7 linked regions of the Ovis aries genome follow. The protein of the gene in region 1 interacts with the protein of each later gene in a pairwise test. Links are inferred from orthologs where the notes say so. Each region holds a gene or a part of one and is shown on either strand. Other genes may lie near its edges. The genes, in order: SGTA, LAT, SDC4, GAL, F11R, CD99L2 and antileukoproteinase-like.

Region 1 (2,888 bases):
CTTAGTTGCTCCATGGCATGTGGGATCTTAGTTCCCCAGCAGGGATTGAACCTACAAATCCTGGATTGCAAGGCAAATTCTTAACTACTGGACCACTAGGGAAGTCCTCTCTTCTTTGGACCTTGTGGTTAAAAATTATTGTGGTAAAAGATGTATACAGTTTCCTGTTTTAGCCATTTTAAGGTCCGTAGTCCCATGGCATTTAGTACGCTTATAATGTCCTGTAGTTGGTCACTACAATCTAATTCCAGAACGTCCATCACCCCAAAATGAAGCCCCACCCCCAATATCGTTGTCTCCCAGCTCCTGACTACCAGTCACCCGTCTGTGGATCGGCCTGACGGTGTTTCCACATCAGTGGACTCAGAAATTCTACGGTCTTATGTGTCACTGGCATGCCCCGGTGTCCCTGGGGGGCAGCACTGCCCCACTGAGAATCACTGTTTTTAAGTCAAAAATGGATGTTCCTGGGAAAGTTGGTGAAATTGACAGGTTACAGTCAGAAGGGTGGGCTCAGGGGGACTTGGGTCCCAGGTAATGTCTCTTGCCAGCAGGGGGGAAGGGTCAAGCAGGGCCGCAGCGGGAAAAGGGGGCTGAGCCGTCTTCAAGTCCAGGACTCTCTTTGCAGCATGTCCGGCATGATTTCAGGCGGCCACAACCCCCTGGGGACTCCCGGCACCAGCCCCTCGCAGAATGACCTGGCCAGTCTCATCCAGGCGTGAGTAGACCTGCCAGGTGGGGCTCCTGGGTGGGGCAGGGTCCAAGGTCCCCGGGTGCTCTGTGGGGCCTCATCCTCCAGGGAGTGGTCCCTCTGCCCTCCAGGGGCACGTCAGGTAGGGAGAGGCGGCTGGGTGGGTGCCTTGGACCTGGCTGAGCCCAGGCACGCCTCCCCTGCCCCCACCTGCAGGGGCCAGCAGTTCGCTCAGCAGATGCAGCAACAGAACCCAGAGTTGATAGAGCAGCTCCGCAGTCAGATCAGGAGTCGGACTCCCAGTGCCAGCAATGATGACCAACAGGAGTGACCGCCCCGTGAGTCCCCGGAGCTGGGGGGCACCTTGGGCCCTCAGGTCTCTTGCCGGGTGGGCCCACTCAGGTGTTTCTCCCTCCAGCCTGCCCAGCGCCATCGGGTCCTTCCCGGCCTACAGGAAGCCTTCTTGACCTTTTCCGTCTCCTCCCATTGGATCGCCCACGAGAGAAAAAGAACTTGGACCTGCATGTTAAGCCGGATTTTTATGATGTTTACTTTTACTTCCTCCCCTCCCTCCCTTTTTATACTCTCTCACGGCCCCCAGATCCTTCTTGAAACAGAGCCAGCAAGCTGTGAGTGCAGACCAGCACCCGTCTCCCTCCTGGCCCCCTGCCCTGAAGACCTGGTCACTAAAGTATTTTCTAGAACATTCTGAGGTGGGGGTGGTCTTCTCACCGCTCTCCGAGAAGTGGCCTGTGGGATGCCGTGGCCCCGAAGCCCCTTCTTCAGCCCCCGCCTGCCTTCCCAGTCTGTCTGCAGGGCCTCCCAGCCCCCGAGAAGCCGCTTTCTGAGTTGACCGTGGCCTCCCTGGCCACCCCTGCTCAAGCGAGCTCACTGCCAGCCAGCCCGGCCCAGCAGACCTGGGTTCTCAGACAAGGAACTCCAGTTGCAAGTGCCCCAGAGGCAGTTTCTGCGCCCAGCGGGGGCCGAAGCAGACGTCTTGGGTGCACACAACCCATTTCTGGGACTTAAATTCCAGTCCAGTGCTCGGATGGACTCGGGTCTGATCGCCATGCTTTTCCCAGTGCTTACAATTGACAGACTGTGAGGGGCCTTCTCATGACCTTTGAGCTGGCTCCTGAGCCTGTCGCAGCCTGGCTGTGTATCCCAGCCACTGCCTTCTGTCCACAGGTGGTGGTCCTGCTGGCCTGGCTTGCCTGCATCCTCAGCGGGCTCTCCTCCTGCTTGGGGGTCAGGGCTATGGGGGTCCCTGATGACCACCTGCCTGGGCCTGAGATCACCGGGCAGCCACTGTGGATGTCCCTGCAGCCCAGGGCAGGGTGGAGAGGGTCCCTGGCACCGCAGCTCGGGCCACAGTGTTGGTGATGAGATCGCTGGAGGCTCCCTGATGGTGTCGGGTCCTGTGGGAGGTGACACCGTACCAGTACCGTGTGTGTAGGTAACTCGTAGAGACAGCCCCACACACATCCCACAAGGCGTCCTAACTCATGAGTGCTACCATGATGACGAGATAACGTGTGGGGAATAAATAGACATCGTGATCTCTGCTGGCCTCCATGTGGACCTCTCAGTGCCACTCTGCCCCCACCCCCTCACCTCCCAGAGCTTCCTGGAACCCCCAGTGTGGACCCTGCATGGGTCACCCTGAACCATTGACCCAGGTTGTGTGTGCCTTCCCTGTCACCTTGAAGACAATCTCACAAATTTGGTGGCCTTTAACTACACACAGTGTCTCCATCCTGGAGGCCAGAAGTCAGACTGGGGACCCCCTTGGGCTAAATCCAGGTGTGGATGGGTCTGGCTCACTCCCTGTCCAGAGGCTGACGTGTGGTGTAGGTGCAGGGGGTGTCAGGCCTGCACTCGACTCCCCCGGGTCGCTGGGCTGTGGGAATGCTTTGGGGCCATACCACTTTCTTTGGCCGTGACCTCTGTGGCTTCCAGTGGGTGTACTCAGCCTCTGGTGACCTTGAGCTGCTCTGTCCTGCTGAGGACCTCCCCATGTTCCCTGCCACTTGGATGGTGGCCAGTAGGTCACAAAGGAAGTTCAGGGGGAAGAGTCTGTCCCTCATGCTACTGTGGGCATGAGAGCTCGAGCAGAGCAGAGGGGAGGCAGGTCCTGGCAGTGTCCCACAGAAGAGTGGACTGGCATTTACGCCACTCCAGCTACCTGCCTGAGGAA
Region 2 (4,087 bases), on another chromosome or scaffold:
CAGTCCACAGTTCCCTGTCTAGCTTCATGATGCTGCCTGCTTGTCTGTCTGTCTGCCCGCCCAGCCCTGTGTACCTGGCCTCTCTCAGTCCTCAGCCCTCCCCTTCCTCGGCTTCAGGGCTGCCTGACCCATGAGCTCATGCCCTGCTGTGTGCCCATCAATGCTGCCCTGTCCATTTGCCACTGCTTGTTCGTCCCCTTCCTGGGCCTGTGTCTGTCTGTCCATCCAGCCCTGGCTCTGATTCTCTTCCCTGGCAGGTCTGTTGCCTGAAACCGGGCCCACCGATGACCGGATTGTGGTGCCCCAGCGAGGACGCTCCACCCGGGTCCCTGTGTCCAGTGTGCTTATCTGAGGGATCACCGCTTGCTATCTGCAGACCTATCACAGCTGGCCCTGGGCCCACCCCAGGAGGTGCCCAGGCCCCAACTCCTCGGCTAGCCCGTTTTCCGGGAGGGGCCTTGGGCCGTGTTCCAGCTCCCACACACTACATGGGTAGCCAAGTGGGGACACTGGGGGCTCGGGACGGGGGAGCCCCTGCCCCTGGAGCAGCCCTGGGGGCTCGGTGCTATTTGTAACTGAATAAAATTTGTAGCCAGAACCCCAAGTGCCTGCTGGAGTCTCTCTGGGTTAGGGACCTCTGATCTCTGGATGGTGGGGGATGCCCCCTCTCTACCCCCAGGGTCCCAGCGGCTGTCGGGTGACCCCCGTGGGCCCTGGGGCAAAGCCCTGTCCTTCTGGGCCGGTGAGCATTGGGGTGGAGTGAGCTGGCTTTGTGTGACCGTGAGTCATGCCCGTGTCTCCCCTAGAGCCCGCCCTCCGCAGGCCAGCCAGGGCGAGGTGGGGGTGGGCACACCCAGGGGCCCCTCAGAATTCCCGGTGTCGGAGCCTCTCTTTGCTGCCTCCGTGAGCCACAGCTGTGGAGGCCGCGGCCACTGACTGGCCTGGAAGCATCTTTCCCTCCTCACCCCCGCTATGAGTTGCCCCTTGCCAGGGAGACCAGCTGACCCTTCTGGAGGGCCCAGGGTGGCTCCTGAGGTGGCCTCCTCCCCCTCCTCACTGGCTGAGTGGGGGTGGGAAGGGGGCGGGTGCAGCTGGCTGAGCCCCGATGATTTCCTGCCCTCACCCGGCGCTCACCACAGCTTCCTGCCACAGGCAGGCAGGCGCTGAGGAGAGGCGGGCGCGGAGCGAGGGGCAGGTAGGGCTGGGGCACAGGGTCTGTGTAGGGGTGGCTGGTGCCCCAGACTCCAGCCCAGACCCTGGCCTGACCACCCTGGGGTCCAGGGTCTTCCAGAGCCAGCGCTGACACCCGCTCAGCCCAGCGAGGGGAGGGGATCCAGAGGAACCCCTGCCTTCAGGCTCTCAGCCGGCCGCCGGTACCCTTCCCGGCCTGGCCCTTGCCCGCTGCTTCTCTGTGTGGAGGGGTGTGCAGCGAGCAGCTGGGCCTGGTCCAAGCAGATGGAGGCGGTCAGCCTGCCTGTCTACGTGCTGGGGCCCCTGCTGCTGCCTCTCTTGGCCGTGTTGCTGATGGCTCTGTGTGTCCGTTGCCGGGAGCTGCCAGGTGAGTGGGTGCCAGTGGGTTGACCAGATGCCCAGACACACTGCTAGGGATCCTCACTCCATTCTCTGACCTCTTCCTTCCCTTTAACTGTCTGTAACTCTTTCTTGCACGCGGAGACGCTGAGAGCCCCATACTCCATCACCCTCTGCCCTCGTCACCCTCTTTTCCTGCCTCACGGGCCCTCTCTTCCCCAGGCTCATACGACACTGCCGTCTCCGATAGGTGAGTCTGCCTTGTCGACCCCGTTCGACTCCCTCAATGCCCCGTGTGGGGCTGGGCCCCTGGGGGCCTGGGGTGGGGTCCAGGGCCTCTCCCAGCTGCTGACCTGAGCTCTGTCTCTCCTGCCAGTTTGACCCCAAGTAGCATCATGATCAAACTGCCTCGTGAGTACATGAGTGTCCCCTCCCTTGGGTGCGGGGAGAGGGTCCCCTGGCCTGGGAGAGCGTGTGCTTTTGTTCATTTCCCCGCTGTGGCCGCCCACATGGCCTGAGCTGGGGGTGGGGAGGGAGATCGTGTCTGCCCGCCCAGGACTCTCCAGGGCCCTGGGGGTGGCAGGGGTCAGTCTGCCTTTCGAGGCCTTGTCCAGGGTAGGGGTGTGAGGTGTGGAGTCATTCCTTCAGCTTGGTCCTGTGTCCTCAGCCACACTCGTCCCACGACCATCGACCACTCCCTACCCGCTCCCGAGCCAGCCAGACCTGCTCCCCATCCCGTAAGTACCAAATCCCCTCTTTAACCCCTCACCTCCTTGGATTGGGGGCCTCTTGCCCTGTTGCAAGCCCTCTCCCCCTAGAGCCCCACCCTAGTATGACCTCTGACCTTTGACGCCCAGAAGGTCCCCGCAGCCCCTCGGAGGCTCCCACCGTATGGCGTCGTCCCGGCAGGACTCAGATAGCGGTAAGCCTGGAGCGGGACCCACAGGGCTGGGACCACTGGGTAAAGGCCCCCTCCGAGCTGACTCAGTCTCCCTCTTGCGTTCTCTCTGCAGCCAACAGCGTGGCCAGCTACGAGAACGAGGGTGTGACTGGGACCCCTGTGGCCCCGGCTGGGAGGCGGCTGAGACCCGTCCTGGGCTCCGCTGACCCTGTGTCGTTACCCCCAGAGGCAGCCTGTGAGGATGCGGATGAAGATGACTATGACGAAGACTATAACAATGAGGGCTACTTGTGAGTGGCCAGGTGGGAGGTGGGGGCCGAGGCCAGGGCTCCTCGCTCACCTGACCCTTGACTCCCGCAGGGTGGTGCTTCCTGACAGGGACCCGGCCACCAGCACTGGCAACGCCGTCTCACAGGCTCCTGCGCCCAGCAAACCCGGCCTCCGAGACAGCGCCTTCTCCAGTGAGTCGGCCGTCTGACCACTCCCTGCCCCTCCGTGCTGCGGCTCCTCGGTCTTCCCTCTCCTCCTGGATCCTTGCGCCCCTCCATCTTCTCGCTTCTCTCTTTCTAGCCCTCCTGTCCTTCAGCTAGGGGACTTCCGGCTCCGATCTTCTTTTCTTTTCTCTCCTCTTCCCTCTTGATCGTTTGCCTTTTTGTCTGCAAGATTTCCTTGACTCTATTCTTCTTTGGGCTCCGAGCTTTTGTCTTTCTTGTCCAAAAGCTCTTTCTTCATCTCTGAATATTCCTTTCTCAGAGCCTCCTCTCTTGTCTTATGAAGGTGATATCATCTTGCAGATCTCGAAGGATAGTGATGATCAGCTGTCTTTTTTGGGTTTCTTTGGAAAGTTTTCTTCTGCTTCCAGTGTTGTTTCAGTTTCCTTTGGGCTACTTTTCGCTCTTCGTTTTGGTTTCATCCTGCCTCTTGGAGGCTTTTATCAGTGTCTTGTGATCTTCAGTGTCCGTTACTCTTTTCCTTCTATGCTTGCTCTGTGCCATCGTGTCCACACCCTGGCTTAATTTGCCATCCGCATCATCCCTAACTCATGGCCTCTCTCTTGGGCCCCAAACCATCTGTCCAAGTGCTTATTTTCATTCATTCATTCACTCACTCATGTTCGTCCATCTACTCACACAATTCAGCCATCATACTTACTGGTTGCCCCTGAAATAATCACTGCTAATGAGTCTGAGTGAACTCCGGGATATGGTGATGAATAGGGAGGCCTGGCGTGCTGCGATTCATGGGGTTGCAAAAAGTCGGACACGACTGAGCGACTGAACTGAACTGAACTGAATGAGAAAAAGTCATGATTAAAGCAGCTCGCATTACTGAGGACCTCATACATTCGCAGCTAAAGAGTTTTATGTGTATTTGTTGTTGTTATCTAGTCACTAAGTCATGTCTGACTCTTTTGCAACCCTGTGGACTGTAGCCCAGCAGGCTCCTCTGTCCACGGGATTTCCCAGGCAAGAATCCTAGAGCGTGTTGCCATTTCCTTCTCTGGGGGATCTTCCCAACCAACTTATTAATATTAAACCTCACAATTCCCAGGGGCTTTTGAGCTTCTCCCTTCCCCTCCTGCCTCTCACTTATCCCATCTATACAATGATTTGTGTATTTAACAGAAGCTTGGCAGCACTTACTGTATGACAGACC
Region 3 (3,660 bases), on another chromosome or scaffold:
CTGACAGGATCTGAACCATTCTTGGCATGACCTTAATTCAAGTCATTTATGCTCTCCAGGAAGCTAGTATAAAAATGAAGGGTTGTAGTTGGGGAGAGCAGGGAGACTCAGAGGGAGAAGATATATGTATAATTGTGGCTGATTCGCATTGTTGGATGGCAGAAACCAGCACAACATTGTGAAGCAATTTTCCCACAATTAAAAAATAGATTTAAAATAATGAAGAGTTAGCGATGACCCGGTGACCCCCAAGGTGGCTGAACTGGGAATCGATCTAGGTTTCAGTCCGAGTTTTGTTCTGACTTGGTCTTCACTTCCTGATGTAAAACAGAGAGAGCCACTACCAATCACAGCGAATCAACGTGCTAATCCCAGGGGTGGTTTTGAAACACTCCTCAGTACTTTCACCCACTAAGAGAAAGGAAGGATCCATAAATAAACAGCCATGGCTCTTGGGGATGGGGAGGTAGGGGAAGGGCCCAGCCTGAAACAGCCCAGTGTCGAAACTCCAGCCCCTGTCTTGAGTACTTGGAGCTCTGACTGGTCTCCAGGCTCCATACGCAAGTGGCCAAACTGCCTTCTTTACTTCCTGGGCTGAGTTTGACCGCCATTTGACAAGGCTCCATCCTGGCCGAGGTAGGCGGACACTCTGTGTGCCCGTGTGTTTATGGGTGTGTGGATCTGTATGTGGCTAAAGGCTCGGGTGACCTATGCCTGGGTTCCGGTCCAGAGTGGCCACTTTCTGCCTGGGTGATCTTGAGCGAGTTACTTCAATTTTCTGAGCATCCCCCCAACCCCCTCCCTCCTCAGTGTTTCAGCAAATAAGAGCTATGAGGAGGACCTACTTCAAGCTAAGTGCTTAGTTTGGTAAGCTGCCTAGATCCTGATGTTTCCGATTCTGCCCCCCACCCTTACCACCTCCCCCGGGGGAATTTGCAGCAGGAGATGCGGATGGGAGCACAGGGACCCCGCCCTAGGTGCAGGCAGCTTGCGCAACCACAGTGGAGCCATCTTCTGGAGCTGCCAAACTAAAGCCACAGGCAAGGGGCTGTGTGGGGGCTGGAATTCCAGCGCCAGCAGCTCCCCAGCTCCTGATTCCCGAGTCATGAAGTCATCCCTCACCAGGGCTTAACCCCTTCTCGCTCCCCACCCCCATGTGTACCAGGCGTTCAGCGGAGATTCTCCCTTCCGTGGTGGGAGGGGAGAAATCTCGCTCCCAGCCTGACCTCCCTCCCGGGAATCCAGCTGCCCCACACAGACAGACAGACAGGGTGGAAGGAGACCCAAAAGTCTGCTTCCACCCACCTCTCCCCGGAAGCCTGGGCCTCTCCCACAGAGGGTAACCTTGTCTTAGGGACGGATGTGCCTTTCCAGGCCCACTCTCTGTCCCTGGCAGGTCTCTGCTGGGTGGAGGACAGCGTGGGGCAGTCAGAAACAGAGCCTGGCTTCTTTTCTGAGTGTGTAGCTGACTCACCGTGTGACCTTAGGCAGGTCACTGTAGGAAGCTTAGATTCTTTCCCTTTCTGTGAAATGGGAGGGCAGGACCTCCCTGGCCTCCAGCTGGTGTTCCTCGGTTCTGAGCAGACCCCGCCCCTCTCCACACCTCCTGTAGTTAGGGGGTTGAGGGGGGAGAAGAATGTTTGGGGCAAGGGGTTTGTATTCACCACCCTGAGTCTTCTGGGAAATGGTAGGCACTAGAATATTTGAGTTCATTAGTGAAAGAATGAACTTTGCCCTGGGGCTGCTGTTATGGGCAGACAAAGCCTCAGCCCAGAAGCTAGCTGAGAGGGTGGTGTGAATCCCAAGTATTTCTGACTCTCTAGAAGGAGCTTTGTTTTCCCCGGTCGAATTTGCAGGTTTGGGAGCAGGGTGGCTGATGTTCTGGAGGTCCTGGGGCAGCTCTTTGCCTTCCTGGATCTTTCATGCTTTCCTTGTGAAAGCTACTCAGTGGCGGTGGACCTGAGATTCTAGCTGGGGACGGCTGGGGCCCCCATTCGTGGCAGCGGAGGGGTACTTAGGGGAGCTGGAGTGGACAGTCCATGAGAGCAGGGATGGGGCTCCACACTGCATGGCTGCAGAATGGCCCCGTGGGAGATGTTTGGAAGGCTGAAGACACGAGTGTGCTCACGTACACTTGACTCACCAGGTTCCGGGCAGCGCCCTGACCCGAGGCTGTCCTGGGACGTGAGTGAGCCAGCCCTGCCTGTCCCAGCCTGGTCTGACTCAGCTGGGAAAGATGTCCGGGTCAGGGCAAAACCAGAGCCAGCAGCCCTCTCCCTGCCGTGGGTGAATCAGCAATGACAGCATCAGAGCACCCCGGAGCGTGGACTGGGAACGCTGGCTCTGAAGTCAGTCTTCACTCCGTCTGCTCCCACGAGTCACCCAAAGAAAATGACTTAGTATCTTCAGGGCCCAGTTTCCTCGGTTGTAAAACAGGTGAAGACTGGTCTTTAGAGTTATTAAGAGCAGGTCCTGGCCTATAGCAAGTGCTCAGTATAGGGTACCTAGCATATTTATATTCTGATGATGCCACCTTCATTATTTTAATTAGCCCAGAATGGGAAAGGGTTTTGTCTAAGGTCACACAGCAAGGTAGGCTCTAGCCTGATGCCCTTCCAGCACCCCAGCTCCCGTTCCTGAGCACTCGCTTCACTGCCTTGCGGGGCTCGGGGGCTGCTAAAGAGCATTGGCAGGGGGAGCTGCTGGTTAACGTGTCTCCTGTTCTCACCCTAGATCCGAGAAACTGAGGTCATCGACCCTCAAGACCTCCTGGAAGGCCGATACTTTTCCGGAGACTTACCTGATGACGAGGACATCGGGGGGCCCGGGCAGGAATCCGATGACTTTGAGCTGTCTGGCTCTGGAGATCTAGGTACGGAAGGAGGAGGGGGCCGGCCTGGGGCTCAAGGCTGCAGAGAACTTGTCTTTTACAAGGTTGACCCCACTTTGGGGCTTGAATTTTCCTATTGTGCCCCTCCCCGTTAAAAAAAAAGATGGGGTGAACAAAAGTAACCGGATCAACCCATCCCTGAGACCCTTTCCAGGCGAATGGTTTCTTGCTCCGAGTCCATTTGTAGTAGAAAACCAGTCCGAACCTGTCCGCCTTTGGACGGGATTGGGTGGGAGTGGGCGTTGGGAGGAGAACTGAACTGTGGCCTGTTTTCCTTCCTTTGAAAAGCAAAGAGAGCGCTCAGGAGCCTGGGGGCAGGGTGAGGAGAGCTGTGGGAGGGAACCGAGAACCAACCCCTGCTTCTGCGAGGATGGGATTGGGAATCAGTGAAGGGGCCTCCTGGGGCCGGGCCAGGGTCCCCGTCTTTCTTGGTCATTTCCTGGCCCTGGCTGCCAGGCCAGACAGAGCTACTGAAAAGCCTCCCTCCTCTGTGTGGGGTGGTATAACAATGTGAAGTTTGAGTTCTGGAGTCACATAATCCTGAGTTCAAACTGCCGCTCTGTGACCTCTGAGCCTTGGTGTCCTAATCTGTAACATGGGAATAGAAAATTAGACTGAGTTAAAAGCCCTGGGCACTTACCATGTTCTGAGTAAATACATTCATATTGGAATTTCTGATATTTACTGTTGCAATCTAGAGTCTTCTCAAATGAATCCCCTGGGAATCTTGTTAAAATCCAGATTTTGATTTAGTGGCCCCTGAAATTCTG
Region 4 (3,397 bases), on another chromosome or scaffold:
TCGGGCTCCTGAGGACGACTGTCTGGCTTCGCGGCGTCGCCTGTTTCCTTCTTGGGTCTTCGGTAGGGGGACCAAGACTTCTACCCTCAGTCCCCACGTGCTGTCCTTAACTCAGCATCAGCCTAGCACACCTCCTGATCCAAAGAAAGGCTGCCGTGCTTCGGACGGTGGCCTCCTGACCCACCACGTGACTCGCGCTGCCCTGTCGGTCCCCACCTCGCGCGGCCCGGCACCGCCGCCCCTCGCCACCCTGCACCCCCTGACCCTCACGCCCGCCTCCACGCCACTCCTCCCCCTCAGGCTCGGGGCTGCTGTGGCCGTTCCCATCTGCCCATATCAGCCGCAGGAGGGCAGGGCTCTGTTTGTGGTTTTGTCTGTCTCAGAAACAAACTTGCCTTCATAATTATCTTTGACTCAGCTTCATGTTAAGACAACTTTGTTCCCTAAACATGAGTGACAACAGAAGGTGTCTGAGATACTCTAGATGGTGGAATTTGAGGGTAAAGGTTTTATCTAATACCCGTGATTATAAACAAGCATCATCCTTTAAAAACACATTGGTGGCAGTGGTGACAAGCCAGACACCTGGAAGGAAATGATCATCACAAGCCATTGCTGTTTTTTTTTTTTTTTTTTTAATTTTGCCACTCAAACTTATGACCAAAGGGAAAGAACCTGAAATGGCAAGGACACAGCATCAGGGCAGCGGGGATGGGGCGGCTGCCATGTGACGGGCACCCTCGCGGGGCACGACTGCGCGTGACAGGGGAGCCCGACACGCGCGGGAGCCCGCTCAGGACCGCTCGGCGTCTCCTGCGGACTCTGCTGTGGGGAGACCGGGCAGGTGCTCCAGGACCCCGGCGTCTGCAAGGGGAAGGGCCACACTCAGATCCCCCCGCATCAAGCCCGGCATCAGGCACGCGCCACAGTTAACCCCCACACTGGGCATGCATTTAGGTAACAAAAGTCAGTGTCCCCTAAGGAGAGAAGCTCCATGCGGCAGCATTCCAAACAGAGCAGATAGACCCATAAGGTCAGTCTGCCCTTGCTGGGAGAGTCACCCGTTTCCTCCACAGAGGTCTCCCCAGAGGCTCCACTGGGCTCTGGGTTCTGAGGTTTCCCAGTCCTTCTCCCACAGCCCCGCTGCCCACGGATGGTTCTGAGGGAAAGCTGCAAGCTTAAATCGCCCCCCAAAACTCCTCCCCCGCTAAGCCCTCCTAAAAGCAGTGGAGCCTGAGAGCAAGTGGATCAAGACAGAACCCAGAAAGCGTCGTCACTCTTCCAACTAGACAAAACGGGGACAGCCCTGGTGCCACCCTTGGAGGTCCCGGTGGTGACCTCTCAGAGCCCCTTCCACAGGACGGGTTTGATTAAGGCCAGACAGTCACTGGGGCAAGAGCGGCAGTCACAAGCACAGAAGTGCTGAGGTTGGATGGGCCACGGGGAGGCCCCCTCATCTGCAGTGTCCATGGAAGAGCCTAGATCCCAGGCCACAGAGCTATGGGGGTCAAACGCAGCCTGCCCCCCAGGAGACTGCCCGCGGTGAAAATGCAACCAGGACCCTGGGCTCCAGGTGGTCTGCGGAGAGCCTGGCTGTGTGTAGTGACTGCGGCCCCACGTCCAGGAGTCTGGGTCCACAGCACAAACGAACCCAGCCCCGGCCTTGTCACTGCTCCCGCCAGCGTGACTAGGTGTGAGGTAGACCCGGCTCCTCCCCAGGAGAAGTCCATGGAATCTTTTCTCCACAGGCTTCCAAGAGGTGGGGTTTCCCCTTGGGGTACTTCACGTACCTTTGAGATGCAGGAAAGTCAAAAACTCAATTATCGTGCGCACGACGTTGTTATCCGCCAGCGGTCTGTCAAAGCTTCCTAGAAACCAGAGGGGGCAGGGTTGACGACCGGGGTGCCCGTCCTAGACCTGGGCACCTGGGGGCACCACCGGGACGCCCCTCCCTCCTTCCAGAGCCCGGTTCAGCTCAGGGCAGGCCCTGAGACCCCGTGGCTGCCCCAGGATCTTACTCCCAGGTTTGGGGCGCCTCGTTCTGGCGGCTGACAGATCTTGTGGGGCCCAGCTCAGGCTCGGTTGTGAATCGGGCGGGCAGGAGACCAATACCCCCACGGCCCTGCGTGCCCTGGGATTAAAGTCCCCTCACCTGGCCGGGCTTCGTCTTCAGGCTCGAGTCCCCGCTTGCCGGCGAGGCCATGCTTGTCGTGAAGTGACCTGTGGTTGTCGATGGCATCTGTCGGCAAACCAGGGAGGAAAGCACCTGAGCGTGGTCGCCGTGACAGGACACACGGCTGCTTACCGCCAACCCGCAACACAGCCAGAGCGCACAAACCAAGCGCGGCAGGGGCGCCGTGGAAGGGGCAGGGCCACGCTCTGCGGAACCAGAGGACAGAGCCAGAGCCAGGGCGCCGCTCCCATCCAGGGGCTGGGGGCCCGCAGAGCCGGAGGGGAGCCGCCGGTCCAGACGGGGCCAGCATGCGCCTAGTGGAGGGCACTGGCTCCAGGCCTGGTCAGCGCGGGTGTGCCAACGGCGCCCCAGGGGGGCTGGCATTTGAACTGGGTGCCTCCCAGGCAGAGGACAGGGCCTGGGGTCCTATGTCCCTGAAAACAGGGGCAGGCGGAGCCACAGGATTTGCCCTTCTGATGAAAGCAGATTTTCTCTCTCTAAGACCACTGGCTGCTGTGAGGGAGACGGACTGGAGCCAGGGAGAGAGACAGGGTCAGAGAGGAGGAGGAGGAGGAGGGGGCGAGAGGGAAGGAGGGCGTGCGTGTGTGTGTATACACGTGAGTGCGTGCGTGTGCACGTGTCTACACGTGTGTGTGCGCACACGCATGCATGTTGGCTGGAGTGAAAAGCAGGAATGAGGTTGCAGGCAGAGAGACCCCCTAAGAAAGCACTGGACGGAGTTCCCTGGTAGACTTTGCGGTTTCACTGCTGAAAGCCCGGGTTCAATCCCTGGTCGGGGAACTCAGATCTCATAAACTGCAGAGTGTGACCAAAAAGAAAAAGTAAAATAAAAAGAACTGAAAAGAAAGAATGCAGACTCTGTGCCAAGCAGCCTGCAGTGAAGGGAAGGGCCTGACCTGGGGCCCTTCGGGGTAAAGGAGACCTGGGCCATGGTTTCTGGCTGCCGGGCCTGATGCACCAGGTCACCTCCAAGCCTGGGCAAGTGCGAACTAATGCATCTTCCCCCAGAGTCCTTGGCCTGCAGTGTGGAGGGATGACAAGCCCCCGGCGATTCAGGAGGCCACTGGGCGCCTCCAGGCTCAGACCGACCTCGGCAGCAAGCACAGTCTCGTGCTGACGACAGAAGCCGGGAGTACGGCGCGAAGTCTTAAGGGATTCTGACAAAGAGCTGGTCTAGATGGACAGCTTCTGCTGATCCAACTT
Region 5 (4,426 bases), on another chromosome or scaffold:
CTGGAATGCCTCAGTGCAGACACTTCATGAAGGGGTGTGTATGCAAACACCAGGCTTCCAACCAGGTTTCCACTTCCCCTGCGGTCACAGCAAAAGTCATCCTAGAAACACACCATCTTGCTAAACAGAAATGCCTCTTCCCGCCTAGGAGATAGCTGGAAACCTTTTTTAAGCACAGGCTCTCTAGGGGGAGGGAGGCCAGTATTCTTGGTCACCAGTTTTTCTTTTCCCAGGCCCAGCTCTCCCAGTGTTTACTCTCCAACCCTGTCCCAGCAGGTTCAGGCCTTCTTCTCCACTAGATTCCCCCGGCAGGAGGTGGGCCACTAGTTGATCTTTTCCTCTCCCTCCCTGATGACAGAGTCCACGTGAGGAGCAAGGACATGCAGGCATCCTATATAAGCTTCCACTATCCCAAGGGCAGAGGACAGACTAGACAGGCAAGAAAGCCCCCACTTTTTCACTCTAGCCATTTGGAATCTAGCAGGGTCCCTCCCTGCTTTCTCTGACCTGCTCTACTATGGGCAGCATTCTTTCACCCTCACAAAATCCAAAGGAGGGTAATAGCTGCCCACTAATAATCGCTTTCATGTATGTCATGTAGCTATTATCCCAGTTGATCCTCAGGATGAGGTTAGGACAAGTATTATTACTCCTGTAATACTCTTGTATTACAGATGAAAAGACTGAGTTACTAGACTATGGTCACAAATAAGCCAGAAAGTCAAGCCAGAACGCAGGTTGGGGGTGGCCTGGTTGTTATTTCCATTCTCACTGTGCTAACCAAATAGCATCTCCCAGGTCTAGCCCTATTTACATGTGACAAGGTCAGTTCCTCCATCTCCTGGACATGCTACTTCCCAGGATCCACTGTCCTGTCAAGCTAATACAATATCATCTCACATTCCCTGTAAACCACTGTTTATTGATTCCCTGAGCAGACTAGAGGGTATTCCCAAGCTCAGACGGGTGATATCACAAGGCTTTCAGTGTCAATCCGTGATAATATATTTTGGGGTTATTCTAGAAAATGAGGGGGGAAGAGGAAAAGGGAGAAGGAAGCAGTTCTAGGAGTCTTATAAGTCTGACAAATACTGTCACAAATACAGTTACTAACTCAGAAATTTCTAGGTTGGGAAGTGGGGGGATGAGTACAAGGGTTGACAGGGTTGTCAAAGTGTTTAGTACTGAGCACCACACCCAACAAGAAAATGACTCTGGGTGTCACTAGCAGTTCTAAGATACAGACAGAAGTAAATGGAGAAGAATGGGAAGGAAAGAATGGAAATTGAAGAAAGGGGGAAATGGAGGAGTAGAATGAAAGGGAGAAGTGAGAAAAGAAAGAATCTAGTGAGAAAGAAAAATTGAAAAAGGCAGGTGAGACAGTGGACTCTGGAGCAGTATCCCAAACTGATGTTTTGATATGCTGGTTCCTGTGTCACAGGCTGCCTGAGACAGGCCCAGGGGCAGAAAACAGAAGTGAGTCAGGAGACTTTGGTTCCAGTCCCAGGTCTTTTGGTCAGTCTTATCAAGTCATTTCCCCTCTTTGTACCTGTTTCCTGATCTGCACAATAGGGGGAGGGAGGATCTGACTTGTTACTGGTCCAGTCCATCCCAAGGGTTAATGTGTTTGTGACAAGAAACAAAGGAGTCGTCAATTCATCTGTCTAAGGGCACCCTTCACACTAAGCAAAATGAATTATCTTGTAACCAGCAATATTGGTCTTAATTGCTCATCTCTTCTACATTTCCTAAAATAGCGATCTTGAGGAGGAAATGGAGATTCTTACAGACCCCCTGCCGACACAACTATTCACGGTAGCACACACAGACACTCAAGAATCAGGTAAGGGTACAGGGGCTGACACAGGTAGACTAAGGCACAAACCATAAACTCAGTCAGGCGCAAGCACAACTATGGACCAGAGGCCTGCCCCAGCAAGTGAGCCTCATTGTTCCACAGGAAAGGGAGTTTACAGAGGAAACAAAAACTCTCAAACATGGCCAGGGGGGAGGGCAGAGTTCTGGCTCTGAGAAGGAACCAGCCAACCAAAAAACAGGACCTTCCCCTGGGAATGGTATCTCAGTCAACAACATTTACTAAGGATTCCTGAAGTAAGGTATGCTAGAAAGGAACTTGAATGCTGTGCTAAGAAATTTTAAATTTCAATTTTATGTATTGCCTTCCAAAAAAAAAAAGGTTTTGCAACTGGACACTTTTCCTGGAGCAACCATGCAACCCAGAAATTCGGGAAAAGCTAAAAAGACCCTTCAGCAACAGCCAGGGAAAGGGACTTCCACTCCAGTCGACCTCCATTAGATTTTCTCTGAGGACCCTTCAGGAGCAAAACATCCCAACAAAGTCAGGGGACAGGAGGCTCCCGACAGATTCCGGATGGTTCGCGGATGCTGGAGGGGCAGGATGGCCCTTCCCAGATGCGTGATCCTGGCTGGGCAGCGCCTCCGAGCCCACCAGCACTCACCAGCAGGTGAAAATGGAGGAAAGGGGAACCAAGCTTTCCCCGTTATTTTTGGTAAAACCGCGGAAGAGGCAGCTCCCTCCAAGTGGATATAAGAGAAGATCCTTATTCATAAGTGTGGGGGAGGGGAGCCGGCCACTCACCAGGGGAAGGGGGAAGGGAAAAAAGAGGGATGAGTCTAGGGTGGAAAAGAGGACTAGGAGGGTGAGCCGGACTGATTTCAGAACCCCTCCCTCTCGCGAGCCAGCGGTGTGAGGAGCGCCTCCCTCCAACCTCTGATCAGACGCACAGATTACTCCGAAAACTCCGGGAACTTACACAGGACCATCGACGTGAAGAGAAGCAACTCTGTACTGCCGACTTTCGCCTTTGTACCCATCACGATCAAGATCCCGATGCGACAGCAGTCACTGCGACACTAGAAACACACACAGCTTCGCCTGCAGCCGCGCGGGGACTAAACTCCAGACGCCAGGTTGAGCCCAGCCCGGCCCTTCCCTTCACGCCCGATTGGTCAGCGCCGCTCCTCTGCACTTTCCGATTGGTGGAGGGAGCCGCCGCTCCTCTGAGTGATTCACCGTCGCCAGGTGCAGTCCCGCCCACTATTCCCTGTGAGGCGGATTGGAGCCTTTCCAAGCCCGATCCGCCCCTGATTGGGCTAGGAGACTGTCGCGTACGGAGACCCAGGCCTCACCTTCTGCAGGTGAGGACTCTCTGATTGGGCGGCGTTCCTGAAGTAGGGACTTTACGACTGGCTAGGTTCTGAACTGGAGCCGGAAGGTTAGAGGAACACCTTGAAGAAGGTGGTCGGGAAGGTAGTTGTTCTGTGAGACGCGAGAGAGAGAGGCCTGCTTTTGTTTGTTCGTTGTAATGCTTTGTTTATTCGGAATGTAAGTTGGAGCTGCAGAAATCTTGGTCCAGTCCTTTATCAAGTGAAAACCACGTGTATTAATATGTGAGGGTCGGGAGAGAAGGCCCTCAAAGTGTGTTCCTCTGTCCGCTCCACTGGCAGGATTCAAGGCTGCGTTAGAGGAGGAAAGGGAAAGGAGAGGGGAATGAAGCGCTCAGTTCAGTAGTGGGAAGGGCAGAATCGAATCACCAAACACACCCAGATAATACAAACTGACCTACTGACGCTCTATAAACATCACTGTGAGTGACTGTGGGTATGTCCTTTACACATGTGTAATCAGTCAGCAGAGGTCTGCATTTCAGTAGTACTTATCTTCTCACTATGGATAATTGCATGCCTGCTAAACTCTCTTTCTATAGGCTATGTTGATACTGTTAATATTTATATTGCTACATCGTTTTTATTTGAAACCCATTCTCAACAGCTAATATTTTACAACAATTTTACATTGTGATCGTAATACTTTTTTTTTTTTTTTTTAACTTTTTGACTGCGCAAGGCTGGATCTTACTTCCAGATCAGCAATTAAACCCACGCCCCCTGGGAAGTCCCTATTTTTTTCTTAGTATATCCAGGTTGCCCGTGGGAAAACTTCCGGAACTTTATCTCACTGCAAGTAAGAAGTCCATAGTGAAGTGAAGTCCTTCACTCGTGTCCGACTCTTTGCGACCCCATGGATTGTGGCCTACCAGGCTTCTCTGTCCATATGATTTTCCAGGCAAGAGTACTGGAGTGGATTGCCGTTTCCTTCTCCAGGGGATGTTCCCCACCCAGGGCTCAAGACCCGTCTCCAGCATTGTAGGCAGATGCTTTTACCGTCTGAGCCCCCAGGGAAGTCCATTACGTGAACATGAAGTCACTCAGTCGTGTCCAACTCTTTTCGAGTCCCCATGGATTGTAGCCTACCAGGCTCCTCTGTCCATGGGATTTTCCAGGCAATAGTACTGGAGTGAATTGCCATTTCCTTCTCCAAGGGACCTTCCCAACCCAGGGATCGAACCCGGGTCTCCCGCATCGTAGACAGACGCTTTACCAT
Region 6 (4,122 bases), on another chromosome or scaffold:
CAATCCCTCCTTTGCTTATGCAGATAAACCTGAGTTCAAGTCCAAAACCTTTCTGGACCACGTGTTTTTCATCCAAGCTATGGGTTACCACTCAGTTACTTTTCAAGGCTGTATGCAAACAGCCACTGTGGGGGTAGTTAGGAAATGTAAATGAGTGAGGCACTAAGGGCCTGGCACGTGGAAGACACAGAGGGAGTGGAGCTCTTGTGCGATTGTCACCCACCTGTACCATTGAGATCCTTCTCCCAGAAAGTCAAAAGCACAGCTTCCCATTTCTGTCGGTACAGACAGGTGACATACCTGTCCTCAATTTTTCAAAACTAGTAAAATACACAGTGGACTAACAGGAATGCCTTAACCGCCTTCTCAACTCCTGGGAGCCTAAAGTCTGTCTTGACATGCCAGAGCCTGGAAGGATTTCACACATTGCTTCGAGGTTCTGAGCATTTTCTGAGTCCTGCCGGGCTCTCTAAGTCACACTTCATTACTGAGGACCAAGAAGAAAATGGCTCTTGGACAGGCACACCTGATCCACCACTTTGGGGCTTCCGGAGAGTCAGTGGGGACCTGAGACCAGCTCTGAAAGTGCTCGGATCCCCCGAGGGAACCACCAATGCAAAACCCAGATTTGTCACCTTGATCTGCACAAAAGAACCAGGAAACTGAGTCCCTACCTTGAAGCAAAAGATCGTTCTGGTTCAGCGTTAATTGAAATGTAAAAAGATCACTAGGAGGCCATCCTAAATGGGTGTGATCCTGGGTCTCCAGGGGCCTCTCATCTGGTAAGTGGGGATAGTACCTAAGAAGCCAAACTCCTGGGGCAGTTAAAGAGAGAGAGTGTGTGTGTCTGGTAAGTGGGGATAGTACCTAAGAAGCCAAACTCCTGGGGCAGTTAAAGCGTGTGTCTGTATGTGAAACTGGATGAGCAAACCAAGTCACGTTCTGGCTTTCCCAAGGGCACTTGGCCAGTAAGGCGTAGGAGGGCCACCTCCAGGTGTAAAGGCATTATGCCTAGCGCTTAAAAGCAAGAACTGGAATTAGACAGCCTGGAATCAAATTTCAGCTCTGCCACCTGAGGCAAGTTACTTCACCTGTGTGCCTCTGCTTCTTCCTCTGTAAGCTGGCTGCACCCCTTCGCAATTTCCTCCACCACTCTATAAATCACCCAGTGTAACCCATGATGGTGAAAACCTGAGACCCGATCACTTAAATTCCTCATCTTCTCAAAGTGCCTACCATGTTGAAGACTTGCAGAAGACAGCCTTGAAGGCAGTATCCGTTTTCTAACTTTTTTGGGCTTCCACTTCCAACTGTTCCATATCATTAGATGCATGTCAATCAAGTGATCAAACTTTTTTTTTTTGCCACAAATGGATCATAAGCAAAATAAAAATTGTAACTCCAAAGAAAAAAATGGAAGAAAAGTCAACAACCCTGTAACCTGCTTTGTTTTGCTTCACTGTGCTGACAACATAGTATATAGACTATGATCAGTCTGTGCTCATTTTCTCCCCCACCAAGATGTCAGCTCCACAAGGACAGAGCCTGAAGTTCGTCCACTGCTGCAGCATCCGTGTCTAGAATGGCACCTTTGTAGAATGCTGAATGGTCCTTCTTTTCTAGACTCCAGGAGGGTTGACCACATGAGAAACATTTCTGCATCTTTTGCAAAACTGCCTTGGACTGTCTACTGTTTCCCAGTGTTCCTTATAATAAAATAACCCACACTAGAATGCAGTTATAGGACACGATTTTGTTTTTGCTGAGCTCATGTGTTTTTCACTAGCTAAATCTGCCCTTGTGTCAGGAGAGCTCAGAGCACAATTCTGCGCTCAACTCCAATGTTTTCCTCAACCTCTTTTTCTGAAGAGGAAATGAGATAAGCAAGCTAAGAACATTTTGCTGGGACTCCTTGGCGACCCTATTTTTAGCCACAGACTGCATTTATTCTAAGATGCTTGTCAAACTTGAATGTGCCTGTGACCTGGGGAGGTAGTAAAAGCAGAATCTGACTCAGCAGGTCAGGGGCGGGGCCTGGGATGCGGCATCCCTCACTAGTCCCAGATGATGATGCTGCGGGTCTTGGAACTTGCTTTCTTGATCTGGTAGACTTGCTCTCTCCTTCTCCTGGAGAAAACATCACCAGTGGCTCGAAAACTGGAAGGGGTGCCAGAAGCAGCTGCGGGGGCTCGTTGGACTTCCACACCGCCGTTCCCCGTCCACCCCCATCCCCGCCAAGATCCTGACAAAGTAGGAGTGAGCCCCAGAGGCTCCTCGGGTGCTTCTGCTGCAGGTGGCCTAGAAACACCTTTGGAGAAGCCTTGCTCAAGGGAACGAGTGCTCTCTTCGTTTTCCCAACGGCAATCTCCCGGGGACAGCTGTTGTCACTGGTGGAGAAACCCTGTTCAGGATTTTAAGGGGGGACGCTATCGCTCTCTGTAGCCGGGCACCAGGAAGGGTCCGGGTCTCTTCCCACCCACCACAGGGGTCACAGCAGGGTCGGCCCTCTACTCGCAGTTCTAACCCAACGTGCCGCACGGCCCCGCCTGCCCCCCGGCGGCCTCCGCAGACGGCCCTCACGCGGGGGCCGCGCCGCTCATGCGCACCACCGGGCCCTTGGGGCACCGGCCCCCAGCCCCGCCGGCCTACAGGGCGGGGACCCCGCGTGCCCCCGGCCCGCCTTACCTCTCTGGACAAGTGTGGCCAAGGAGAAAGCGAGGCAGATGAGGCACGCCCAGCGCCAGGCCACCATGGCTGGGAGCCGGCGGACAGGGCCCAGAGGAGCACAGTGAGCGCGAGAGAGCCCGAGAGGGAAGGTCGGGGAGGAGCGGGGAAGGAGGAGGAGGAGGAGCAGAAAGGGGAGGAGCCCTCCCCTCACTGCAGGGCCCCGCCCAAAAGCGCCGCGCGCGCGCGGCGCGGCCCTGAGAGGGCGGATGGGGGCGCGCACGAGCTCTGGCGCCAGGGCGTGCCGGACCGGTGAGGTGGGGCGGGACCGCGACTGTGGCACGAGGGGCGGGGCGAGCCTGCAGCCTCGGGGGCGGGACGGCGGCGCGGGGGGCGGGGCCGCAGCCTGCGGGCGGTGCTGGCGCTTGAGGGGCGTGGTCCGCGGGCACCAGCAGGTTGAACGGTCTGGGTCCTGGCCAGCGCCGGCGCGCGACTTGCGGGCCCAGTCACACCCCGCCCTCGAGAAGGAAGTCTTGGAGGTGGGCCCTGCGGCCCTGGAGCTGTGAGTCAAAAGTGACTGGGAAAAAAAAAAAAAGAAAAAAAAAGTGATGGGGACTCCAATTAAAATTAATTAATAAAAAAAATTTTTTTTAAGTGACTGGGGAGCCGGAGGCGCCGGCAGCGAAGGTGTGCAGTGATTTCCACCTGGCGCGCGGGACACCTCCAGGGTCAGAAGCTGGACCCGAGGCGGCGCACGAACCTGGTGCGTTCTGCCAGCCTGGTGACCTTGGACAGGGCTCTTCCCCTTGTGGCCTTGGTGTCCTCCCGGTCAAGAGCTGTTCCCTGGGGGTCCCTCCAGCTGCGGCGCCAGGACCGGGCACCCGCGCTCCTGCCCCTGTCACCTTGGCCGAACTTGCTTGTCAGAACCATGGCTGCACTCAGACTTGGCTGATCCTGCAGTAGAGCCCTGCCCAGAGATGGGAAAAAAAAAAAAAAAAAACCCGTTTTGATGGCTGGCAAACAGCGGCACGTCTTGAGGAAATGAGCCTGAGGCCGGGGGCCGCAGGTTCAGGCTAGAGGGAAGTTGAGGGGCGACCTGCAGCCAGAGCGCCGCGGGCCCCGGGGACGAAAGAGGGCCAGGGTCAGCTCCCCGAGGCTTTGATGAATGCACTGAAAGCGCCAGTTCACATCTGCAGCGGCGATCTGTAAATGTGCTCAGTGATCGACACACGCGCCGCGTTCCTTTCCAATGAACCCCTCAAACAGAGTCCATCTCCAGGACCAGGCGAAATCAGATTCCTACCCTGACTGTCACAGCAAAATGCCAGCTGCAGCCTTTGACGAGAGCACTCTCAAGAAAGGCTCTGGCTGCAGCCAGCTTTCAAAGACAAAGAGAAAGCGTCACTGCTCCCAGAGTCGTCTGGCTGGTCCCTGCTGTTACTCTGCACAAGCTGTCCG
Region 7 (4,439 bases), on another chromosome or scaffold:
TCAAGGAAGATGGAAATGCAGAGAAAACCTAGTACATTTATTTATTCACTGATCAATAGGCATTTCCTGTCGTGTGCCAAGCTTCACATTGGATGCTGGGGATACATAGATAAAACAGGCCAGATCTTGTCCCCAAAGGAGTATTGGTCACAAAACCACATCTTGACCAAGGTGCTTTCATTGTTTTCCAGGCTTGCAGGGTGGGGAGTAGGGGGAATCCCCAGAGCACACAGACCAGGAAGTCCTAATGTTTTTGACCTGGAAAGGATGAATCTGTAGAAAGAAAATAAAGTGGAGCTTCAGCACAGGAATTATTTAAGTGACCCTTATATCTGTCCCACCAAGATGGTCCTTCCACCACCAAGTCCTAGGTCCCTTGGGATAGGTAGAGAGCATTGTGCTGGAATCATTGAAACAGTGCTGGCCTTTGATGTAGGAATCAAGACAAAATCCAGGCTTTTCACAGGCTCTTCTCTGATGCCCTCTGATAAAATCAGGGTATTGGGCTAGATTGACATCTATGCATCTTGCTAGAGTTCCCCTGTGGTTCAAGATAACTCAGCCAATCGAGGCCATAACCATAGCAAAATTCTCTGAATGCAAATAGTACTTCAAGTCTTAAAAATCACTTTTACATTTAGTATCGCTATGGATATAATTGTGTCCATTTTACAGATGGGGAAACTGAGGTGGAGGATGAAATAGTCAGTTGCTCATAGTCACATAGTCAGTCAGAGGCAGAGATGATATTCAAAGATAGAACTTTTGCCTCTTGTATCACTCTCCTTCCTCCTGCCTTATTCCAAGAAGCTTTCCTTCCTAGGACCCAGCACGGCCTGTCATAGGTGCCTCCTGGGACTTGTCTAGAGAAATCTAAGGGGTAAAGGTCACTGAAGCGCAGAGCATCTGCTTAGGGAATGGGGAAGTACTGGAAGATGTCAAGCAACCTCTTTCACATACAAAGGTACCATTAGGTTGAGAGCATATTAAGGTCCAGGGGGATGCGGAGCTTGCTAGATCTTCTCCTCACCTTTCACCGGCAGGACACATGAATTCCCACACGGACCCCTGCAGCACTTGAAACCATTCAGGCAGTGGCTGTCATCCTGGCAGATGTTTACAGGGTTGGGCCTCTCACAGTGGCCAGTGACCACCGGACACTTCCCAGGAGTGACTTTAAGTGATGAAAACAAAGTCACAATTCAGAGGCTTCGCCCCTTGGCACATCACCCAAATTCCCAACTCCATCTTCACCCCATGCGTGGAAACTGGTTCTTCCCTACCTTCAGGATCCAATCTGAGGCTGGTGCGTGTCCTAAAGAAGACTCCCTCCCACCAACGGGACCCCAACTAGTGTCTGACATACGTGTGTCTGATAGACAGACTATTCATGAACTGACTGACCTGCTGGCTGACAGGCTCACCAGCTGGCCTACTGTCTACCTGAGAAAACAGAGCGGGTAGAAGGGGTGGAGAAGCCCTGACTCTATCCCATCCTGCACCCCAGTTCAGACGAGCCCCCTCCACTTGCCCAAGAAGCATGTCCTCAAGCTCAGACCTCCCTGATCCCCCTTTCCAGGACTGGACTTCCTCACCTGGCTTTGACGTGTCTACAGGATCCGTGCATTTGATGCCACAAAGACCCTGGCAGCATTTCTGCCTCTTCGGACACTGCCAGTCACTCTGGCACTCAGGCGGTTCATATACAAAGCACAGCACAGGGCGGACGAAAGGACAGGCTCCAGGTTTGCCTTTTTCTGAAGGGTAAGAACAAAGGAGGAAGAAGCTGGCACTGAGTCAAGATCACAATCCTCCAGAAGGAACCAGGTGAGGAGAGAAAGCCTAACCCAAGTAGCTGACCTCAAAGGAATGAAGGGAGCCATTAGGATTCCAGTTTCAAGGCCGATGTGGGACAGTGGCAAGCTCAGCCAAACCCTCAACCAAGAGGGAGTCAACGGGAGAGAAGGTATAGATGGCGGTGTGCCACTAAATCTTTCAAGAGGGAGACTTTGTGGAGTTTGCCAGTTTCCCTGGTGTAAATATTCCCACTGTTCCTTATTTCAAGCTACCAATGTGACATCTACTACCTCACAGAAGTCTTGAAGATTTCACAGTCAGCTACGGCATGTCTGTATAAGTCAGCTCCAGGGAGGGCTGAACAGAGTTCATGGCCAGGTATCCCTGGCCCAGGGCTGGCTGGGAGGGAGGCAGAGACAGTGACAGCAAGAGAGGCCACTCATTTGAGATTAAACAAAAGAGAACAGATCAACTGAGAAGCAAATAGAAAAAAATAGTGACCATTAACAACAACAACAACAAAATTAAGAGAAACAGAGAACAATTTGGAAAATTAAAACAGATAGTGACCAAAATAATGTGACAGAGAAAAAAGAAAAAACAGTAAAGAAGGAGATATAGAGAAAGAAAAATAAGAAATACAAGGGCTTATCTCTGGATGCACAGAAACTCTCTTAGTTGAAGTCCTCAGAGACATGCTTGAAATTAAGGACCATAGGCCATTGGAAAGAGGGCTTCAAGACCAGCCCCCAGGCGAAAAAGAAGAGATTATTCCCACGCTGAGCCATCATTGACTTTGGTACCTGGGTATGGCCTGAGAAAGTCCAGCTCACGTTTGGGAGCACCTTCCACAGTCCAGGGCATCAGGAATCCGAAGGCAAATATCACCAGGAGGATGATAAGGCTGCTGGACTTCATCTTGAGGGCAGGCGGGGCGGTGGTGACCAGTGTCAGCCTCACCCTTTATACCCGCTCTGATGGGTGTGCTCCCACCGGAACTGCCCTGAGTTCTCTCAGCTGCTATTTCCTCAGCAGGAAATTCAGGTGAGGACAGTGACCACGCCATCCAGTGTTGCTGGCTCTTTCCTGCCCTTAGGCAAGAGCGTGAGGACTAGGAAGGGGAATGAAGGACTTGGAGGGGGTGGTGTCAGAAAGCCGCTTGGGAACATGTTAGGGGACCCTGAATCACCCTCCTTGGGGAGGAGTCGGGGAGGGGCAAAGAGGGCCAAACGGGACATTACAAAGGAACTTGTTAGAAATCTGGAACCATGGTCTCTGAAAATGCCATGACTTTCCCACACTCCAGGGCTCTGGAGGATTGCCACATTTGTTACCACATTACCCAGGGTCACTCCCTTCCCTAAAAGGCAGGTGACATTTTTTCTCATTCTCTCCTGGCTTACTACCACATATAATTGCAGTGCCAGTCACACAGAGAATCTGCTGAATGACAGGTGGAGAGGGGACAGCAAGGAAAACCTCTTGGGTCTTCAGCTTTCTCAGTTGTGAAGTCGGGATAATAGTAACGGACTAGATCACAGAGGGGGAACTTGAGTTCAAAAGAGTGGAAGGAAGTTGAAGAAGAATGAACACACTACCTGTTAGCAGAATGGGAGTGAGACTGATGCAAAGTCAATCACGTTGGAGCCCTGTTTCCTGAGATAAACCGATGGGGCTCTTCTTAGCAGTCAGTTGAAGAGCCAGTTGAAACAGGTATGTCATTTCATATGCTCAAAAAAATCCTCTCACACCCCAGAGTCATCCTCACTGGTCTTGCATGATCATAATGGACATTTATTGTACACTGGCTACATGATGAGAAGTTTAAACAATTCTAAATAGCAAAAGAAATCCTCTTAAGGTGAAACCAAGAAAAAAAATGCATGAAATACACAAAGTAGAATGTAGGAAAGGAAAATAAGAGAGTCCTCATGATGATGGTGACAGAAAATCCCAGAGTGAGACCTGAGTGCCAGAACAAACTAGAGGTTATGTGGGGAGAAGGAAGCTGGGAGGGACAATACAGGGGTAGGGGACTAAGTGTGCGTGCTAAGTCATTTCAGTTGTGTCTGACTCTTTGTAACCTGTAGACTGTAGCCCGCTAGGCTCCATCTATCTATAGGATTCTCCAGGCAAGAATATGGGAGTGGGTTGCCATACCCTTGTTCAAAGGATCTTCCCAACCCAGGAATCAAATCTGTGTCTCTTTCATCTCCTGCAAGGGCAGGCAAATTCTTTGCCATTAGTGCCACCAGGAAACCCAGGGGGACTAAGAGGTACAAACTATTATGTATAAAATAAGCTGCAAGGATATATTGCACAACCTGAGGGATAGAGCCAATATTTTACTATAACTATAAATGGAGTATAACCCTTAAAATGTCAGTCACTATATAATATGCCTGTAACATATAATATTTTATATCAACTCTACATCGACACAAAAATTTTAAGAAAGCATTGCACATTTGCTACTTCAAAAAGAAAAAAAGAAAAAAGAAAAAAAACGGAACTACCAGACCAGATTGGAGAGGGTCAGAGGGCCCCAGGAAATTCATCTTCTGAAAGGTGAAATTAATAGAGAACATCCGGCAGTGATGAATACGTGGAGAGGAGATTGGGCAACTGGTGAAGAGGATGTG

Evidence for each region.
Region 2: the proteins of SGTA (region 1) and LAT interact in binary tests that used the Homo sapiens proteins (3 or more experiments, as listed by UniProt). The two-hybrid records come from large-scale screens. The link is inferred for Ovis aries from reciprocal best matches to the Homo sapiens genes SGTA and LAT.
Region 3: the proteins of SGTA (region 1) and SDC4 interact in binary tests that used the Homo sapiens proteins (3 or more experiments, as listed by UniProt). The two-hybrid records come from large-scale screens. The link is inferred for Ovis aries from reciprocal best matches to the Homo sapiens genes SGTA and SDC4.
Region 4: the proteins of SGTA (region 1) and GAL interact in binary tests that used the Homo sapiens proteins (3 or more experiments, as listed by UniProt). The two-hybrid records come from large-scale screens. The link is inferred for Ovis aries from reciprocal best matches to the Homo sapiens genes SGTA and GAL.
Region 5: the proteins of SGTA (region 1) and F11R interact in binary tests that used the Homo sapiens proteins (3 or more experiments, as listed by UniProt). The two-hybrid records come from large-scale screens. The link is inferred for Ovis aries from reciprocal best matches to the Homo sapiens genes SGTA and F11R.
Region 6: the proteins of SGTA (region 1) and CD99L2 interact in binary tests that used the Homo sapiens proteins (3 or more experiments, as listed by UniProt). The two-hybrid records come from large-scale screens. The link is inferred for Ovis aries from reciprocal best matches to the Homo sapiens genes SGTA and CD99L2.
Region 7: the proteins of SGTA (region 1) and antileukoproteinase-like interact in binary tests that used the Homo sapiens proteins (3 or more experiments, as listed by UniProt). The two-hybrid records come from large-scale screens. The link is inferred for Ovis aries from reciprocal best matches to the Homo sapiens genes SGTA and SLPI.

Annotation. Positions count from the first base shown.
Region 1 is NC_056058.1:18,712,575-18,715,462, forward strand, and holds the end of SGTA (small glutamine-rich tetratricopeptide repeat-containing protein alpha), read left to right. Parts: intron 1-628; coding exon 629-718; intron 719-907; coding exon 908-1,022; 3' UTR 1,023-2,255; downstream 2,256-2,888. UniProt on the Homo sapiens protein: Co-chaperone that binds misfolded and hydrophobic patches-containing client proteins in the cytosol. Mediates their targeting to the endoplasmic reticulum but also regulates their sorting to the proteasome when targeting fails.
Region 2 is NC_056077.1:26,377,371-26,381,457, reverse strand, and holds the start of LAT (linker for activation of T-cells family member 1), read left to right. Parts: upstream 1-1,145; 5' UTR 1,146-1,455; coding exon 1,456-1,558; intron 1,559-1,674; coding exon 1,675-1,780; intron 1,781-1,906; coding exon 1,907-1,941; intron 1,942-2,197; coding exon 2,198-2,267; intron 2,268-2,387; coding exon 2,388-2,452; intron 2,453-2,543; coding exon 2,544-2,721; intron 2,722-2,791; coding exon 2,792-2,892; intron 2,893-4,087. Other genes in the region: SPNS1 (protein spinster homolog 1), read left to right, coding at 258-352. UniProt on the Homo sapiens protein: Required for TCR (T-cell antigen receptor)- and pre-TCR-mediated signaling, both in mature T-cells and during their development.
Region 3 is NC_056066.1:73,576,591-73,580,250, reverse strand, and holds part of SDC4 (syndecan-4), read left to right. Parts: intron 1-2,733; coding exon 2,734-2,872; intron 2,873-3,660. UniProt on the Homo sapiens protein: Cell surface proteoglycan which regulates exosome biogenesis in concert with SDCBP and PDCD6IP.
Region 4 is NC_056074.1:42,496,176-42,499,572, reverse strand, and holds the end of GAL (galanin), read right to left. Parts: intron 2,240-3,397; coding exon 2,153-2,239; intron 1,869-2,152; coding exon 1,791-1,868; intron 865-1,790; coding exon 794-864; 3' UTR 612-793; downstream 1-611. UniProt on the Homo sapiens protein: Endocrine hormone of the central and peripheral nervous systems that binds and activates the G protein-coupled receptors GALR1, GALR2, and GALR3.
Region 5 is NC_056054.1:112,480,959-112,485,384, forward strand, and holds the start of F11R (junctional adhesion molecule A), read right to left. Parts: upstream 2,937-4,426; 5' UTR 2,857-2,936; coding exon 2,796-2,856; intron 1-2,795. UniProt on the Homo sapiens protein: Seems to play a role in epithelial tight junction formation. Appears early in primordial forms of cell junctions and recruits PARD3.
Region 6 is NC_056080.1:84,661,147-84,665,268, reverse strand, and holds the start of CD99L2 (CD99 antigen-like protein 2), read right to left. Parts: upstream 2,820-4,122; 5' UTR 2,753-2,819; coding exon 2,686-2,752; intron 1-2,685. UniProt on the Homo sapiens protein: Plays a role in a late step of leukocyte extravasation helping cells to overcome the endothelial basement membrane. Acts at the same site as, but independently of, PECAM1.
Region 7 is NC_056066.1:73,486,871-73,491,309, reverse strand, and holds antileukoproteinase-like, read right to left. Parts: upstream 2,849-4,439; 5' UTR 2,716-2,848; coding exon 2,601-2,715; intron 1,758-2,600; coding exon 1,596-1,757; intron 1,175-1,595; coding exon 1,031-1,174; intron 274-1,030; coding exon 245-273; 3' UTR 17-244; downstream 1-16.